Elephas maximus indicus: one gene and its partner. The protein of the gene in region 2 purifies or fractionates together with the protein of the main gene of each other region. This does not show direct contact. Links are inferred from orthologs where the notes say so. Each region holds a gene or a part of one and is shown on either strand. Other genes may lie near its edges.

Region 1 (7,871 bases), on a different chromosome or scaffold from region 2:
AGAAACCTTTAAATATAAGCTGTTTGTATTAAAAATGGAAGCAAAATACTAGATTAAGAAGTATATTTGTGGGTTGTGAAGTATCTGTAACATTTCTCCTAACAATGAAATTTAGGACACTCGATCAAAACAAAAAAGTAAATGAATATTCCAAATGAATAACTAATAATTAATCTCGTAAAAATATCTTAGGTATCTTAGATCTTTTGAGAAGTTAAATTATTCAAGGTCTACTAAAAAAAAAAAAAACAATGGATCCTTTTAGGTTTATAATTTAAGTTATTAAAACAAGTAGCATTCAGGAGGTTTCTTAAAAGCTTAGTTTTGTGTGTGTGTGTGTGTGGTTCTTTTTAAAAAAGTTATATTTATCACCTTTCATTATCTGCTGTCCTGAATTTGCCCAAAGTGAACTCCTTGTTCTCACAGCCACAATGCAAAAAAAAAAGTATAAGAAGAGTTGATAAATGAGAAATACCAAGTGGAGAGAACGCAATAAAAATTTTAATGCTTCATATTTTAAAGACTTTTGCTTCACTGACTTAAGGAATGTGCAGATAAATTACAAAAAGATACTATGCAAATGGTTTATGTATAAACTTGGAAACTTCTACTTAAGTACTTGTCAACTAAAACAAATACTCAATAATACTCCACCTATATAATGCCAAACTAACCACTGAATTCATTAGTCAGGAAGAAATTAGTGTGGTAATTGTTGCAACATTGTACAAATGGGGGGGGGGAACAAGAGAATCTGAAAAGCCTGTTAAGTGCGCTTTCTCTTTCAGTACCTAAACCAGTATTAGATTAATGTATAAAAGATTCTCATCCTCCTTCAAGCCAATATATTTGGGTGTCTCTACAACAATAATAGGAAGTTTAAATTTCTATTTGACAATTTTAATAAGACATACTAATGTAAGAAATTATCCAATCACGCTGACCTCAGGGATAAAATAACAGCTTTATCTTTTAAAATTACACTTGAAACAAATTTGAAAAGATTCATCTTACATAATTACAATATCATTTGAATGCCACAAGTTTCTTTCATTTTCAAATGTCATGTTTTTAAAATCTAGAGTTATGCTGTGCCTTAAAATCAAGCAAGGCTAAAGAAAGTTTGCTATACCTTAAAGAATCTAAATTAATGGAACTGAGAAAAAGCTAAAGACCAAGCTATATCCTTACTGGGTACCACATTCTGATGTCAAGATTTTCCTGTTAATTTATCCATCATTTCAATTCATCCAGTCAACTCTGTAAACAAAGGCTATAAGCCAACTATGATATGAGAATTCAACTAAATAAAACTTAAAATAGTCATCATTCACTTCAACAGGAAGCAGTAAAAGGAAAAATGCTACCACACACCTCTCTTTTCAAAAGACAGCAAGCTAATATGCATGAAATATAAAGCCTTTAAGTTTCAACCTCCCAAACAAGTTTTTGCTACAGTATTACTCAAAATAAAGCTGCAATCTTCCCTTTACAGCCAAGCAACTTTGAAAGATTTCACAAATCTCTTCATTGTCAGAGGAAGCTATTGCTGTTAAGTCGTTTTCTAGTAATTACAAGTTGCCAACTAGGAAAATTCTAAGAGGCTATGTCTTGTTACCTACTACCATCATTTAAAAATTGCTTTTTATGCAGAACTCTACGTGGTCGTGTTGCTTTTGGCCTGTTAAAGGCAAAGCAACATTATCTCTGGATTGCCAATAGTTTCTCCTTATTTGGCTAACATTGAGAGATCCCAATCAGACCACTATAAAACTTTAACATGCACAAAGCATCCATTTTGCGGAAAGTTTGTGACCAGTTTTCCTTTTTCCCACTCCCAAAAGAAAAACCAGATCTTGGTAACCGGCTTTGAAAAGAATGCCCCATGTTTATTCTTCTCTTTCTAACTCCAGTGCACAGCCCAGGACCTGGGGCTCCAGGATCTGTGACACTGCAGCAAACTCACACCGAGTACTGGACCTCAGATAAGCGTTCCGGTCTGGAGATGGACAAGCACTTTTGAACGCTCACTTCCATTCCCTCCCTTTCAGCCGGTGCAGATCAGCTAATTACACCCCGTTTTCTCCTCCCCAGTAACCAAGAGTAATAAAAGAGAAAACAGGAAATCGTTCGCTCAGGGCACTCGGCTTAGAGCTCTTGATTACTATTATTACCATCATTTGTAATCAAGTCCTAAAAAGTACAACAAATCCAATGCCCACCTACAAGCCAAAGATGTCCATCTGCCCGAGAGTCCCTAATGTTCCTTGTAAGTAGTTCTCTTCAGCATCCCCGTCCCCCAAATAAATCCCTGACAGCGGGGCCCAGACACAACCCATTACACCCCTTCTCGTCTCGACCCCAAATCCCAGACACACGACTACAAACGGCCTTAGGGCCCCAAGCAGACCACAGTCCCTTTTCCCCTGTGCCCCGTCAACCAGCCGATTCCCAACTTTAATACCAACTGCTCTGAAGGGGGCCTCAAGCCCTGCGCCCTCCCTCCACCAGTTCTTTCCCTCCCTCCCTCGCGGGAAACCGCCCCCTCACCCCACAGCAGGGAGTCTCTCCCGCCGCCCCCAGCCTCAGGAGGCCCAGAGCGGAGGAGAGGCCCTGACTAAAGAACGGCGGAAACCCTCAGGGTCAGGAGAGCGCGCGGCGGGGTGCACAGACCTGGTGCAGAGCGGTAAGTCCGTCCACATTGGCGTAATTGATGTCGGCGCCGCGGTGCAGCAGCTTGAGGACCTCGTCCGTGTCGCCGCTTGAGCAAGCAGCCAGGAAGACGGCGCCATCGTCGAACTTCACCTTGGTCTTCTGACGCTTCACCACAGGAGGCTCGAGGTCCGTCTCGGAGCCGATCCAGCGCTTCAGCTGCTCGTTCCGCTTCTGCTTCGCGTCCGCCATCTTCATCCCCTCTCCTGCCGCCGGGTCTTCTTATCGCGAGGGGGGAAGGGGGAGGCGGAGAGGGAAGAGAGGGGAGGCAGGGGGTGTGTGACTGTTTCTATGAGGGCTGGCCAGAGGAGGGCTGGGAACCGGGAGGAAACGCTCGAGACTTCCAGTATCCCACAGAGCACTGGGGCGGCGCGCCCGGGCGAGCGGACCTCCCTTCCTACCACAGAAGCCCTCCCGCCCCCGGCCTGGCCACCCGTCACCGGCGGCCACTGTAACGTAACTTCGCGAGATCCGGGCAGGGAGGCGCCCTTCGGCCCGTGCGCATGCGCCCTGGGTCTGTGCCCGCCCCAGGAAGAAAGCTCCCGCGAACTGCGACGGGGGCGGCCCGGCCACCGGAGGGAAGCGGGTGTGGCTCGGGCCGCGGGGGCTGGGACCAACCTGAGAGGGAAGAAGGAGGAAAGGAAGGTTTCCCTGCCCCACTAAAGGCTCCCAGGGTCCCGAAGGCCAACAGTTGGCCTGCACAGCATTGCGGGGCAGACCTGCCTCCGAGGCTGTCTTGGCTCTGCGGAGTCGTTTGCTCAGCACGGAAGATTTTCCTATTGGCCTGCGTTATTTGAATGGAATGGGGGATAGTTCTTGTGTTAGGTGCATGTGGTTTCTCTTTCCAAGGAACTCTGGAAGAATTGGGCGTCTGACAACTGAACAGAACCTTTTTAAAGTTGGATCTGTGTAGCCAAGGACTTTGGACGTAGTTTCCCCAGATCGCAGCCGGAGATGACCGCCTAGTGCCCAGGGTTGGCCTGCGGTCATTGCAGTGGCTTCCTGCCAACACCCAAACGTCCGGCCAAACGTCTTTCCTCTCCTGCCTGGCTTTTTGTTTTTAACCTCCTTACGCTTATTTTGGGTCCTCTTTTCTCTCAGTGCTTTAAGCTGCCCAGTATTCCTCTTGAGCTCAGTTCGGCCTTGTTACTGGTCCTGACCTTTTAAGGGATTTCTGCTTCCTGCTCCCTCTTTTTCTAAAGACGTATCTACTTATGGGGTTCAAAAGAAATGTAAATAATAGCAACCATTTCAACCAGTATTTTTTTTAGGTGCCAAAGAGTCAGTTCCGACTCACAGCGACCCTATGTACGAAACACTGGCTGGTCCTGCTCCATTCTCACAGTCATTATGCTTGAGCCCATTGTTACAGCCATTATATCAATCCATCTTCTTGAGTGTCTTCCTCTTTTTCACTGACCCTCTACCTTAGCAAGCGTGATGTCCTTCTCCAGGGGACTGGTCGCTCCTGATAACATGTACAAAGTATGTGAGACAAGTCTCACCACCCTTCTAATATTTATTGAATACCTATAAGCCAGTCATGGTTCTAGACACTGCACGTATTAACAGTGAAGAGAACGACATGCTTATTTGAACCACCTCTTGAGGCCATCAAAAAAAAAAAAAAATCATAATGAAACACTAAATTTGCCTTGTTTGACTACTCATACTCAAAAAGGAGATACGTAACAAATACTAATATAAGCTCATCTATTTGCTACCGCCACCAACTGATGTTTTTCTAAACACCCCATTGTTTTCATGCAACTGGTTTTTTTTAGAGCGTTTACAAGTAAAATAAGAGAAGTCATAAAATACTACCATCGAAGGGAAATTTAGGGATTGTCTTGACTGAGTTGCCAAAGAACTAACTGATGTTTAATTTCACCCAAAAGCAGGATTAGGATTTATTCAACAAATATTATGCACCTGTTCTGGGTCAGGCATTGTTCTAGATGCTGGGGATACAGCAGTGAACAATTTAGCGTTGTTTACTCTCAGCATGATACCCTTTCCGGTAGACTACATTGTAGCTATCATATTGGAAACTAAAATAGACCAAAATCCGATTAGGAAACAATCTACCTATAAGACTGAATTTCCTGAACCACAAGTCCCAGCATAGAAATATAACCAAAATAAACCAAATCGGTTGCTGTCAAGTCGATTCAGACTCACAGTGACCCTGTGGGACAGAGTAGAACTGCCCTACAGAGTTTCCAAGGAGCAGCTGGTAGATTGGAAATGCCGACCTTCTGGTTAGCAGGCAAGCTCTTAACCCCTGCACAACCAGGGCTCCCAGGTTCAAAATGGAAACCAAACGCATTGCTGTCCAGTCCAATTTCAACTCATAGCAAGTAGAACTGCCGCATAGGGTTTCCAAGGCTGTGAATTTTTCCAGAAGCTGACTGCCAAATCTTTGTCCCACGGAGGAGGCTGGTGAGTCGCCTCTGATCTGTCATTTAGCAGCAGCCAAGTGCTTAACCACTGCACCACCAGGACTCCTCTAGCCCAGGTTGTTGTTATTGGCAGGTGCCATCAGAGGCAGTTCCCAATCTTAGCAACCCTTATGTACAACAGAAGGAAACACTGCTCAGTCCTACAGTCCTCACAGTCATTGCTATCTTTGAGCCCATTACTGCAGTCACTGTGTCAATCCATCTCATTAAGGTCTCCCTCTTTTTTGCTGACCCTCTACCAAGCATCATGTCCTTCTCCAGGGACTGGTCCCTCCTGAGAACATGTCCAAAGTATTTGAGACAAAGTCTTGCCATCGTTGCTTCTGAGGAGCATCCTGGCCTTACTCTTTCCAAGACAGATGCGTTTGTTCTCCTGGCAGTCCATGATATATTCAATATTTTTCACCAACACTGTAATTCAAAAGCATCAAATCTTCTTCAGTCTTCCTTATTCATTGTCCAGCTTTCACAGGCATATAAAGTGATTAAAAATACCCTGGCTTGGGTCAGGCACACCTTAGTCATCAAAGGACATCTTTAGAGGTCTTCTGCGGCAGATTTGCCCAATGCAATACGTCACTTGATTTTGTGACTGCTGCTTTCATGTGCATTGATTGTGGATCAAAGTAAAATGAAGCCCTTAACAACTTCAATATTTTCTCCATTTATCATGATGTTGCTCATTAGTGCAGCTGTGAGGATTATTGTTTTCTTCATGTTGAGGTGTAATCCTTACTGAAGGCTGTGTTCTTTGATCTTCATCAGTTAGTGCTTCACGTCCTCTTCATTTTCAGCAAGCAAGGTTGTGCCATCTGCATATTGCACATTGTTAATGAGTCTTCCTCCAATCTTCCTCCAAGCTTCTCAGATTATTTGCTCAGTGTACACATTGAGTAAGTATGGTAAAAGGATACAACCCTAACCTACACCTTTCTTGATTTTAGAACATGTATTATCCCTTGTTCTGTTCAAAGGACTGCCTCTCGGTCTATGTACAGGTTTCACATAGGCACGATTAAGTGTTCTGGAATTACCATTCTTCAGAATGTTATCCATAATTTGTTATGATCCCAGGTTAGGGATCCTGAAAATACTGTAGGAATAGAAGGTGAGGGTAAGAAGCGTAAAATACACCAATGATAATACCACATCTTGGAATAATGATGGAGTAAGGAGCTGAGAAACTCCAAATTAGCACTAAAATTCAAAAGACCTATTCACTTAAAAAACTCCAGAATACAGCTCTTACAGTGAAAGAAAGGAATTTGAGGATAGCCTTGTTAGCTTTTCTGTCTACCTAGAAAAACTGGCAGCTTATCCTTAGTGTTTTCCAAGAATGTTACGTGGCCTATTTGGTAGCTCATAAAAGTGCTCTGGAATACAGATCAGTAACTCCAGTCTTCATTTGGGCAAGAGGAGTTTCGTAGGAAGTTTGCTATTATTGAAGCAAGCATTTACTTCTGAATATAAAATTAATAAATAAACTAAAATAAGAATTAGTATATAAATAAAATATTAATGGTTAAGTCCACCACACGTCTGCAGTTTGTCATACCGTGGTGGCTTACGTGTTGCTGCGATACAAGGAACTTTACCACTGGTATTTCAAATATCAGTAGGGTCACCCTTGCTGAATAGGTTTCAGCAGAGCTTCTAGACTAAGACATACTGGAAGAAAGACCTCTCAGTTTACTTCTGAAAAAGTTGACCAGTAAAAACCTTATGAATAGCAGTGGAACCTTGTCTGATATAGTGGTAGAAGATGAGCCCCTCAAGTTAGAAGGCACTCAAAATACAACTGGGGAAGAGCACACTTGCCAAAGTAAAGTCGACCTTAATGACGTGGAGGGAGTCAAGCTTTCAGAACCTTCATTGGCTGATGTGGCACAAATCAAAATGAAAAGAAACAGCTACAAACATTGATTAATAATCAGAATGTGCAATGTATGATGTATGAACCTAGGAATATTGGAAATTGTCAAAAATGAAATAGAAGCATAAAGATCAATATCTTAGGCATTAGTGAGCTGAAATAGACTGGTACTGGCCATTTTGAATAAGACAATCGTATGGTCTATATGCCTGGAATGAGAAGTAGAAGAGGAATGGTGTCACGTTCACCATCAAAAAGAATATTTCAGGATCTATACTGAAGTACAACATTATCAGTGATGGGATAATATCCCTATGCCTACAAGGAAGGCCACTTAATATGACTATTATTCAAATTTATGCACCAACCATTAATGCCAAAGATGAGGAAATTAAAGATTTTTACCAATTTCTGCAGTCTGAAATTGATCAAAGATGCAATAAAAATGCATTGATAATTACTGGCGATTGGAATGCAAAAGTTGGAAACGAAGAATAAGGATGGGTAGTTGGACAATGTGGCCTTGGTGATAGAAATGACATCAGAGATCCCATGATGAAATTTTGCAAGACCACTGCAAATACCTTTTTTCAACAATGTAAACGGCAACTATACATATGGACCTCACCAGATGGAAAACACAGGAATCAAATTGACTACATCTGTGGAAAGAAATGATGGAAAAGCTCAATATCATCAGTTAGAATAAGGCCAGGGGCAGACTGTGGAACAGATTATGAATTGCTCATATGCAAGTTCAAGTTGAAGCTGAAAAAATTAAAGCAAGTCCATGAGAGCCAAAATATGGCCTTGAGTATATATAT
Region 2 (8,215 bases):
AGAGTAAGTCACACCTCCTCTCTGGGTCTCAGTTTCCCTTTGTGTCAATGAGAGGGCTGAATCATCTCAGTCGTTTTCAAACATTTTGAAATCCATGCAGCAATCCAATATATAAGAAAGAAAGCACCCCTACCCCAGAGCTGCTGCTCACGTGGCCTCCCTCATGGTACCCATTTGGAAGGTAAGAATTCCACGCATATCATCCCAAAGGCTTGGGGGACTCCACCATTCCAGGGGCCCCAGTATGTTTTTTCTCTTTGGGGGAAAGGGGAGGTCAGAGAAGCAGGCGAGAGCCACAGAAGGAAATGTTATTTGGATGCCAGGAATGTACTCAGGCAACCAGAAGATCCAGAGCAAATATTTGTTTTTCCTTTGATGCCCTTCTGGAGCAGCATTAGTCCCTCCCACCTGCTTGCCCCTCCCTCTGAACAATCCCATCTGGCCCCTGATGATCCCATCTAGGCAGGTTGGGAATGGGATGTGAGTTAGGAAAGTAGACAGAAAATTGGGATGGGAGTCGCTCAGCAGGCTTTCCTCTGAATCTAACCTCCACCAACAGTCTCAGCCCATTTTGGGAGAGGTCCTGGACTGCTCTTGTGAGCCTAACTCCACACTCCTGAAGTGTCCTGAGACACCAGGTCTCTCTCTTCAGGGAGGGTCCAGAGGCAGGATGGGGGTGGAGAACAGGATTGCTCTCCAGCAGAGAAACCACTGGCACAGCAGGGCGGCTGCTGTCCAACAAGGAGGGAGACCCTGAGCAAGTTCCCACCAGGTGGTGGACTGATGGGTCAGGGAGGTTCAGAGCAGGGCCTGCTAGACTGACCTTGGCTCCCTGCACGCTAGAGACAAGAGCCCAGGGAGCACCCTCTGAATTCTAATTCTCTCTTTTCTGATGTAATAAAAGCTGGAATCCCTGCCTAGAGCCACCGAGGTTTGAAAACTGAAAGCTGGTTTATCTCACTCTGGGATCAAATGAGACCTCTCTCTCTCTTTTTCTCTACCCACATACACACACACAGGCATGTGCAACAACTCCAATCCCAGTTTCTGGGCCACCCCAGTCTGCACGACTCAGTCTTCCCCCCAACAAGAGGAAGGAGGGACAAGGCATAAGCAGCTACTTTACCGCTAAGCCCTAACCCAGCCTGGGCCCAGCAGTCTCATGCCTGGAGCCTCATCGGTCCTTGCACTTTACAGAAAGAGAAATGCCAGGAAGTACACGATTGCCCAATAGCTGTAACCTGGCAGCGGGCAGCTGGGGACTGTGCCAGGCCTTAGCAGGAAAAACATACTCGATCCTATTGATAGGGCCACAACCCACTCCCTTTCTCCAACACCCACTCTCCTTCACCAATGAAATGACTTCTTGAATTTCAAACCAGCTACCGGCTGCAAAAGCAAACACAATCTGGGGAGGCGACCGCTGCCATAACCAATAAGGCAAACCATGGCCACACACACGCCTCACAACCAGAACTGGACTGGGTTTGGTGAACTATAACCCCTAGACCCCCTGGTTAAAATGTTAAATGTTAAAATTCAGATTATATCTGCCCTGTGCTAGACCTTCAGAATAAAATCCTCTGGATGTGGGACCAGAAAGCATACATTTTAAACAAGCATCGCTAGGTGATTCCCATGCACTTAAGTTTGAGAGCCCCTGCTAACCAACCTTTCAGGGCTGGCCCTTCCAGATTCAGATTTAAGTCTCACTTCTCCGGTTCTCTGGGTCACAAACACTTTAGTTCACCTTTTTATCTCGTTCAATTCTCAAAGCAGCTTGTGAGGGAGACTGTTTTCCCCATGTTTGTAGAAAGGGAAAGAAACTGAGAAGTACAGTGAGGAAGTGAAATGCTAAAGGTCACGTTATAACGTATATAATATATATACTATCTCTCTCACGCACACGAACACCTCCCACACCAAAATAATAGGACAAGTTTCCAAAAAGGCCCCAAACCCAGGGTATCATGGGACACAGCAGACCTTGCACCAGAGGCTGGTTTCACATTTAACAGAATAAAAACCCATCATCATGAAACTTCCCTCGATCTTCGAGCTGGAAAGGACCTAAGTGTCAGCTCCACTGCAGACCCACCCCGTGCAGATCTCCACAGCAAGCTCTTAGAACTGAGTTGGATTCCTCACTCATTTATTCAACCACACACGTATTTATTAAACCCTTACTGAAGTCAGGCGCCGTCTACTTCCTCTTTCTGTACTGGATAGTCTGTTCCAAGCAACATTCAGTTTAAGTCACCTCTTCCCCAGGAAGCCTTCTCCGTCCCAAACCAGGACACCAGCCCTCTTCTACGCCCGCACCAGCCGTCGGCCTCGCCGGTTCGGCTGTCATCGACGCTGCCTGGTGGTGGTGGGTTTCTCGGGTCCAAGGCTGCTGGCCTCCTAGGTCCACCCCTGTGCAGCGGCCCGCGGCCCGCGGCCCGCGGCCCGCGGCCCGCGGCCCCCGGCCCCCGGCCCCCGGCCCCGGCCCCGGCCCCGGCCCCGGCCCCCGGCCCCCGGCCCCGGCCCCGGCCCCGGCCCCCGGCCCCGGCCCCCGGCCCCGGCCCCCGGCCCCGGCCCCCGGCCCCCGGCCCCCGGCCCCCGGCCCCCCGGCCCCGGCCCCGGCCCCGGCCCCCGGCCCCGGCCCCCGGCCCCCGGCCCCCCGGCCCCCGGCCCCCCGGCCCCGGCCCCGGCCCCCGGCCCCGGCCCCCGGCCCCGGCCCCCGGCCCCCGGCCCCGGCCCCCGGCCCCCGGCCCCCGGCCCCCCCGCCCCCGGCCCCGGCCCCCGCCCCCGGCCCCGGCCCCCGGCCCCCGGCCCCCGGCCCCCGGCCCCCGGCCCCCGGCCCCGGCCGGCGTGGTCAAGGCTGAACGCCGGCAACTGCCCGAGCGCCGCCCGAGCCCCCAGCCTCCCTTCTCCGCTCCCGGCCCGCGGCGGAGTCCCGAACCCGCGGCGCGCCGCGCGAGGGAGGGGCACTCACCGAGCGCCCCGAGCTCTCCCGCGCCTTCTTCACCTTCCCGTAGGTGCCCCTGCCCAGGGTCTCCAGGAACTCGTAGCGGTGCCGCAGGTTGTGCTTGTGGTGGTGCCGCTTCACCGCCTGCTTCCTCATCAGCGGCTTGGGCGACTTGACGAGCCCGTGGGCCAGGGGCCGGGCGAGCTCTGCGGCCGAGGGAGCCGGCCCGGGGCGCCGGGGGAAAGCCACGGACTCCATGGCGAGCAGGAGGCCAGCGAGGGCGGCGGGGGAGGCGGCCGAGCGGGGACGGCTACAGGCCGGGACGCGGAGCCCGAGGCCGGGCCAGTAGCTCGCCGTCGCTCCGGACGGGGCTGAAAGGCGCCGCGCTCCAACCGCTTATAAAGGCTCCGGCGGCCCTGGCCACGCCCCCCGGCGCCCATTGGCCTGCTCGCCGGCGGAGCGCGACCCGGGCCTCCCGCACTGGCCCGCGCCGGCCTCGGCCCCGCCCCCCCCGGCGCGCCGGGGAGAGGTGTCAACAGAGCCCCGCCCACACGGGTCCTAGGGGTTCTTGGAGCGACGAGAAAGGGGAGAACGGGACGCGAGAGGAGGCTGCTGGGCGCGCTGGTACAGCTCAGGGCCGAAGCCTTACTCTGAGGGCCCTTAGAACTGCTCTGAGGAGCCCTGGTGATGCAGCGGTTAAAGCGCTGGGCTGCTAACCGAAGGGTCGGCGGTTCCAAGGCACCAGCCTCTTGGCTGGAGAAAGATGTGGCAGTCTGTTTCCTTAAAGATTTACAGCCTTGGAAACCCTATGGGGCAGTTCTACTCTGTCCTGTAGAGTCGCTTTGAGTCGGAATCCACTCAAAGGCGATGGATCTGATTTGATTTAGAACTGCTCTTGCCTCTGGGGGGCGCTCAGTCCTGGTTCTAGTCACCTATTGCCGTTCCATTGTGTTCTCGGTAGGCAACAGGCAATCTGATGGCAGTAGAGGCCACCAAAGTGTTTCTCCATCCCGAGTCATTTGCTTTCCCAAGCCAAAAATCTTTAAAGTCGCTCGACCGTTCTCTAAGTCCATAAAGGAGAAAGGGAATCTATTTTTCCTTTAAAGAAGAAAGTGCACAAAGGAGAAAGGGGAGAGTGATGGGGTGGGGGTGGGGGTGGGGACAAACTCCAGTCAAGTGGGAGAGCCGTCGATTCTGGGTTCTGGGTTGACCTGTCTTCAGTGAGATGAATTATAACTGGGTCCCAGAATACCATCGGGGAAGTTCTTGCCTCTTCATCAAAGGTTTTCGTCTCCGCGATTCTGGAGCCGGAAGGACTGGTGTTAGGTCATCCAGTCTGGCTTGTTTTTTGGTTTTTTTTAAATTGTGCTTTCAGTGAAAGTTTACAACTCAAGTCAGTCTCTCATACAAAAACTTACAAACACCTTGCTATATCCTCCTAACTGCTCTCCCCCAATGAGACAGCACACTCCTTCCCTCCACTCTCTTTTTTCCTGTCCATTCGACCAGCTTCTGACCCCCTCTGCCCTCTCATTTCCCCTCCAGACAGGAGGTGCCAACATAGTCTTGTGCATCTACTTGATCCAAGAAGCTCATTCTTAACCAGTATCATTTTCTATCCCATTGACCTTTTTTTTTTTTATTATTTTAAACCAACTTTTTGGTGAAAGTTTACACAGCAAGTTAGGTTCCCATTTGACAATTACCACACAAATTGTTCATTGACATTAGTTACATTTATCACAGTTTGTCCACATTCCCCTTAATTGTGTCTATACCCATTCGTATGTGCTCAAACACTTATTTTTACTTTGGTAAAAACACCCACGTTCAGTGCTGCTTTTCCTATCACCAGAAGTAACTAGTCCTGTGGGGTAAAGTGTACTTTCCCTATCCCTGTCCTCTCCCTGGTAACCACCAATGAATACTGGCCTCTCTAAATTTATCTGTTCTGTCTTCTTATAAAAGAGGAATCACATAATATTTGGCCTTGTGTGGTTGACTTCTTTCACTCAGCATTATGCCCTCCAGATCCATCCATGTTATAATGTGTTTCATGGACGCATCATTGTTCTTTACAGTTGTGTAGTATTCCATCGTATATATGTACCACAATTTGCTTATCCATTCTTCTGCTGATAGGCACTTAGGTTGTTCCCATTTTTTTTTTGCTATTGTGATGAAGCAACGAACATAGGGGTGCATATGTCTGTTCATGTCACTACTTTTACGTCTCTAGGGTATATCCCTAGGAGCGGGATTGCTGGATCATAAGGTAGCCCTATTTCTAGTTTTTTGAGGTGGTGGTGCACCATTTTCCATAGTGATTGTACCATTTTACAGTCTCACCAGCAATTGATAAGGGTTCCAATCTCCATACGTCCTCACCAACATTTGCTGTTATGTTTTTTTACATCAGTTTGGCTTGGTTTCTGAGGCCTGGGTCCAGAATCCCCATTCCGAGAGCTCATCTAGGAGTAAAATGAGAGCGTCCACAGGCTTCTGTCTTCCCTTTAAATGTGGGGCAAGATGGGTGAAAGGAATATCTCCCCTTCAGTCCTCCTAACAACCTAATCCTCTGAGGTGGGTACAGCTCTGCCCAAGGTCCCACAACTGGCAAGAAAGTGGTAGAGCTGGAATTCAGAGCCTGGTCTGTGGGGAGAAGTGGAGGGCAGCTAGCCTTGATCCCTTTCCCTGAGGGATACCCTTCCTGCAAGTGACTCAGAGCACTGACTGGGTCCCAGCTGTGCTGGGGGAAGCCCTTATCCAACCCCACCCCCCAAGAGGGTGGTGTCTCCAGCTGTCTATCAGGGCAAGTTGAAGGTCAAGAAGGACTAAATGCTCAGTGGCTGAATTTTGCATTCAGTGTCAGCCCACATTCCTACTTCTACTGTCCTTTCTAGCGTGAGTCAGGAATGGAGAATGGTTTTGTGGCCATAGAGGACCCACCTTATGCAGGAACGGCCACCCCATCGCCCTCTCAAATCCAGAGGGCCACAGGAGGTGGTAGCCCGTCTAACTCTTCCCTCTACCAGCCTTCTCTCTTTCTCTGGGTTAACTGTGAAAGTAAAATGAGGCCCAAGAGATAGCTTCCCTGACCTGCTGTTTACTTTTCCACTCAAGATCCGTGTATATTTCTGACCCAGCTAACTGGGGCCATCCAGAGGGACTGGGACTCTCAGGACGAACTATGGGTGACATATGAGCAAGAACAGGACTGAGTGTTGGGAAACCTTGAGTTCTAATCCTGACTCTGAAACTAACCCATTCTGTGGCCTTCTGACAATCACTTCATTCATTTTACAAATACTGGTGCCCACCAGTTCTGGGCCTGGGGCTATAATGGTGACAAGGTGGACAGGGTGTCTGCCCTCAGAGAACACTCAGCCTCTCGAGAAACAAACAAGCACAGTCTATATAGAGGGAGAGGTGTCCATGCTGGAGCAAGAGCAGGAGTGCCCTTGGAGTGTGTGAGAGTATAACGGAAAGAGGTTGGTCAGGGACATCTTCCTGGGCAGGGTCTTTTGAGCTGAGACCTGAAGGATAAATGGCAATTAGCCAGATAAAGTCAACATGTCTTTATAAGTAAGATGAAAGAATTATGCAGATGAACCTAAGATTCCCTTTCAGGTTTAATCTTGACCCCAGCTGTTCTCAACACCTTGCGCACTTTGTTATTGTTGTTAATTGCTGTTGAATTTGATTCTGACTCATGGTGAGCCCACGTGTGCAAAGTAGAACTGCTTCATAGGGTTTTCAAGGCTGTGACCTTTTGGAAGCAGATCACCAGGTCTATCTTCTGCTCTGAGTGTATTCGAACCACCAAACTTTGGGTGACTAGTCTAGTGCTAAACTCTTTGTGGACTACCAGGCACATAAAAGGTGCTCAGTAGATGCTTATGTAGGAAGGGAATGGATAAGCATGGAATCCAAAGGCTAAAATGAAAGCACCTGCAGAAGACCGGTTTTCCTCCATCATCAGCTAAACTGGGGGTGGCAGTGGGGGTGGATCTCCTGAGACCTCTAGGGTACTCCCCGCCCGCACGCTAGCTTCCTTTGACTAGAATCTGAATCCCCATTTAGAGACAAGGGATCTCCTCTTTCTCAGCCATGGTGTAGTTTAGCAGCCCAGGAGGGGCTGTGGTCAGGGCTTCCGTGCCACCTCGGCTGGCTGCTGTCTGTCCATGGCAGGCAGGGAAGGGAGGGAGACAGACAGATACAGCTGGAACTGCATGTGACTCGGAAATGATTTTAACTGCAGAAACTCAACCCTCAAATTCCTCAAAGGGGAGACCCTGTCAGTCTCTGATCCCTGATCCAGAGTACCTTTGGGGAATCTGCTTAAGTCAGGGGCTAGGCTGCCGGCAACCTCAGGGAATTCCTGGTCACGGGTGGAGAGCCTGGGCTGAGCTGTTCAGTACTACCTGGCCGCCGCAGTCTAGACCAGGGAGGGGGAAGGCTACGTGCCCCTCACCAGCCACCCGCTGCCTGAAGGGCCCTCAGGGAAAACTGCTCATCGGCCACCATGTGCTGCTCTGGGGAAACTGGGAACACATGTCTGTCCCTGTCCTCATAGTCCGTGTGTGTGAGGTGGGGAATCCAGGCTAGTGAAAGGGCAGCAGAGTAAGGACTGTGGTGAGACGTGAAACGCAGTTGGGAACACAGGTGGCAGGCATCCAGGTCACGCTTTGGGGTGAGAGTGGGGGCAAGGCAGGTCTCTAGAAAGAGAGCCATCTAAGATGAGTCTTGAGGGATGACTAAGAATTAGCCAGGCCTGAGTTTTTTTTTTTTTTTTTTAAGAGTGGGCGTGGGGGTTGTTCTTGTCGCCTTGGCTAAATTCAGCCAGACGCCCCTGAGGTGGGTGTGACCTGCAGGCCCAGCATGGGACCTGTTCTCAGAGGGCGCTGTCTGGAACTCTGTTAGACTTTAGATGGCTTCAAAGCCCAAACATAAGTCTCCCAGACACTCACCCACTCAGCCTCCCATTGGTAGACCCTGACTCATGACAGGCTCTTGTCAGTAGACAGCCTTAGGATACAGGGTCAAACCCAGGAACCCAGAAGCCCCTGCTTAGCTAATAGAGTGAGCATTTTGGCTGTGTGTACCTTTTTTTTTTTTTCTCCTGGCTACCCTAATTCCACAATTATCTGCATTTTGGGAGTTAGTGACTGAAAGCATGGGAATTGAGTGGGGAAAGCAACAGCTAAACCCTGTAAGTTTGGGACTTAGGGGGTCGCCCCTCGCAGGCCAGACCCCAAACTGCTC

Evidence for each region.
Region 1: the proteins of NUAK2 (region 2) and PPP1R12A purify together in Homo sapiens (affinity purification with mass spectrometry; 3 studies listed by BioGRID and IntAct, counting the BioPlex papers as one, with this or other methods). This does not show direct contact. The link is inferred for Elephas maximus indicus from reciprocal best matches to the Homo sapiens genes NUAK2 and PPP1R12A.

What each region holds. Positions count from the first base shown.
Region 1 is NC_064822.1:142,343,861-142,351,731, forward strand, and holds the start of PPP1R12A (protein phosphatase 1 regulatory subunit 12A), read right to left. Parts: upstream 3,140-7,871; 5' UTR 2,911-3,139; coding exon 2,674-2,910; intron 1-2,673. UniProt on the Homo sapiens protein: Key regulator of protein phosphatase 1C (PPP1C). Mediates binding to myosin. As part of the PPP1C complex, involved in dephosphorylation of PLK1. Capable of inhibiting HIF1AN-dependent suppression of HIF1A activity.
Region 2 is NC_064836.1:14,801,762-14,809,976, forward strand, and holds the start of NUAK2 (NUAK family SNF1-like kinase 2), read right to left. Parts: upstream 3,310-8,215; 5' UTR 3,209-3,309; coding exon 2,978-3,208; intron 2,363-2,977; exon of another isoform or gene 2,188-2,362; intron 1-2,187. UniProt on the Homo sapiens protein: Stress-activated kinase involved in tolerance to glucose starvation. Induces cell-cell detachment by increasing F-actin conversion to G-actin. Expression is induced by CD95 or TNF-alpha, via NF-kappa-B.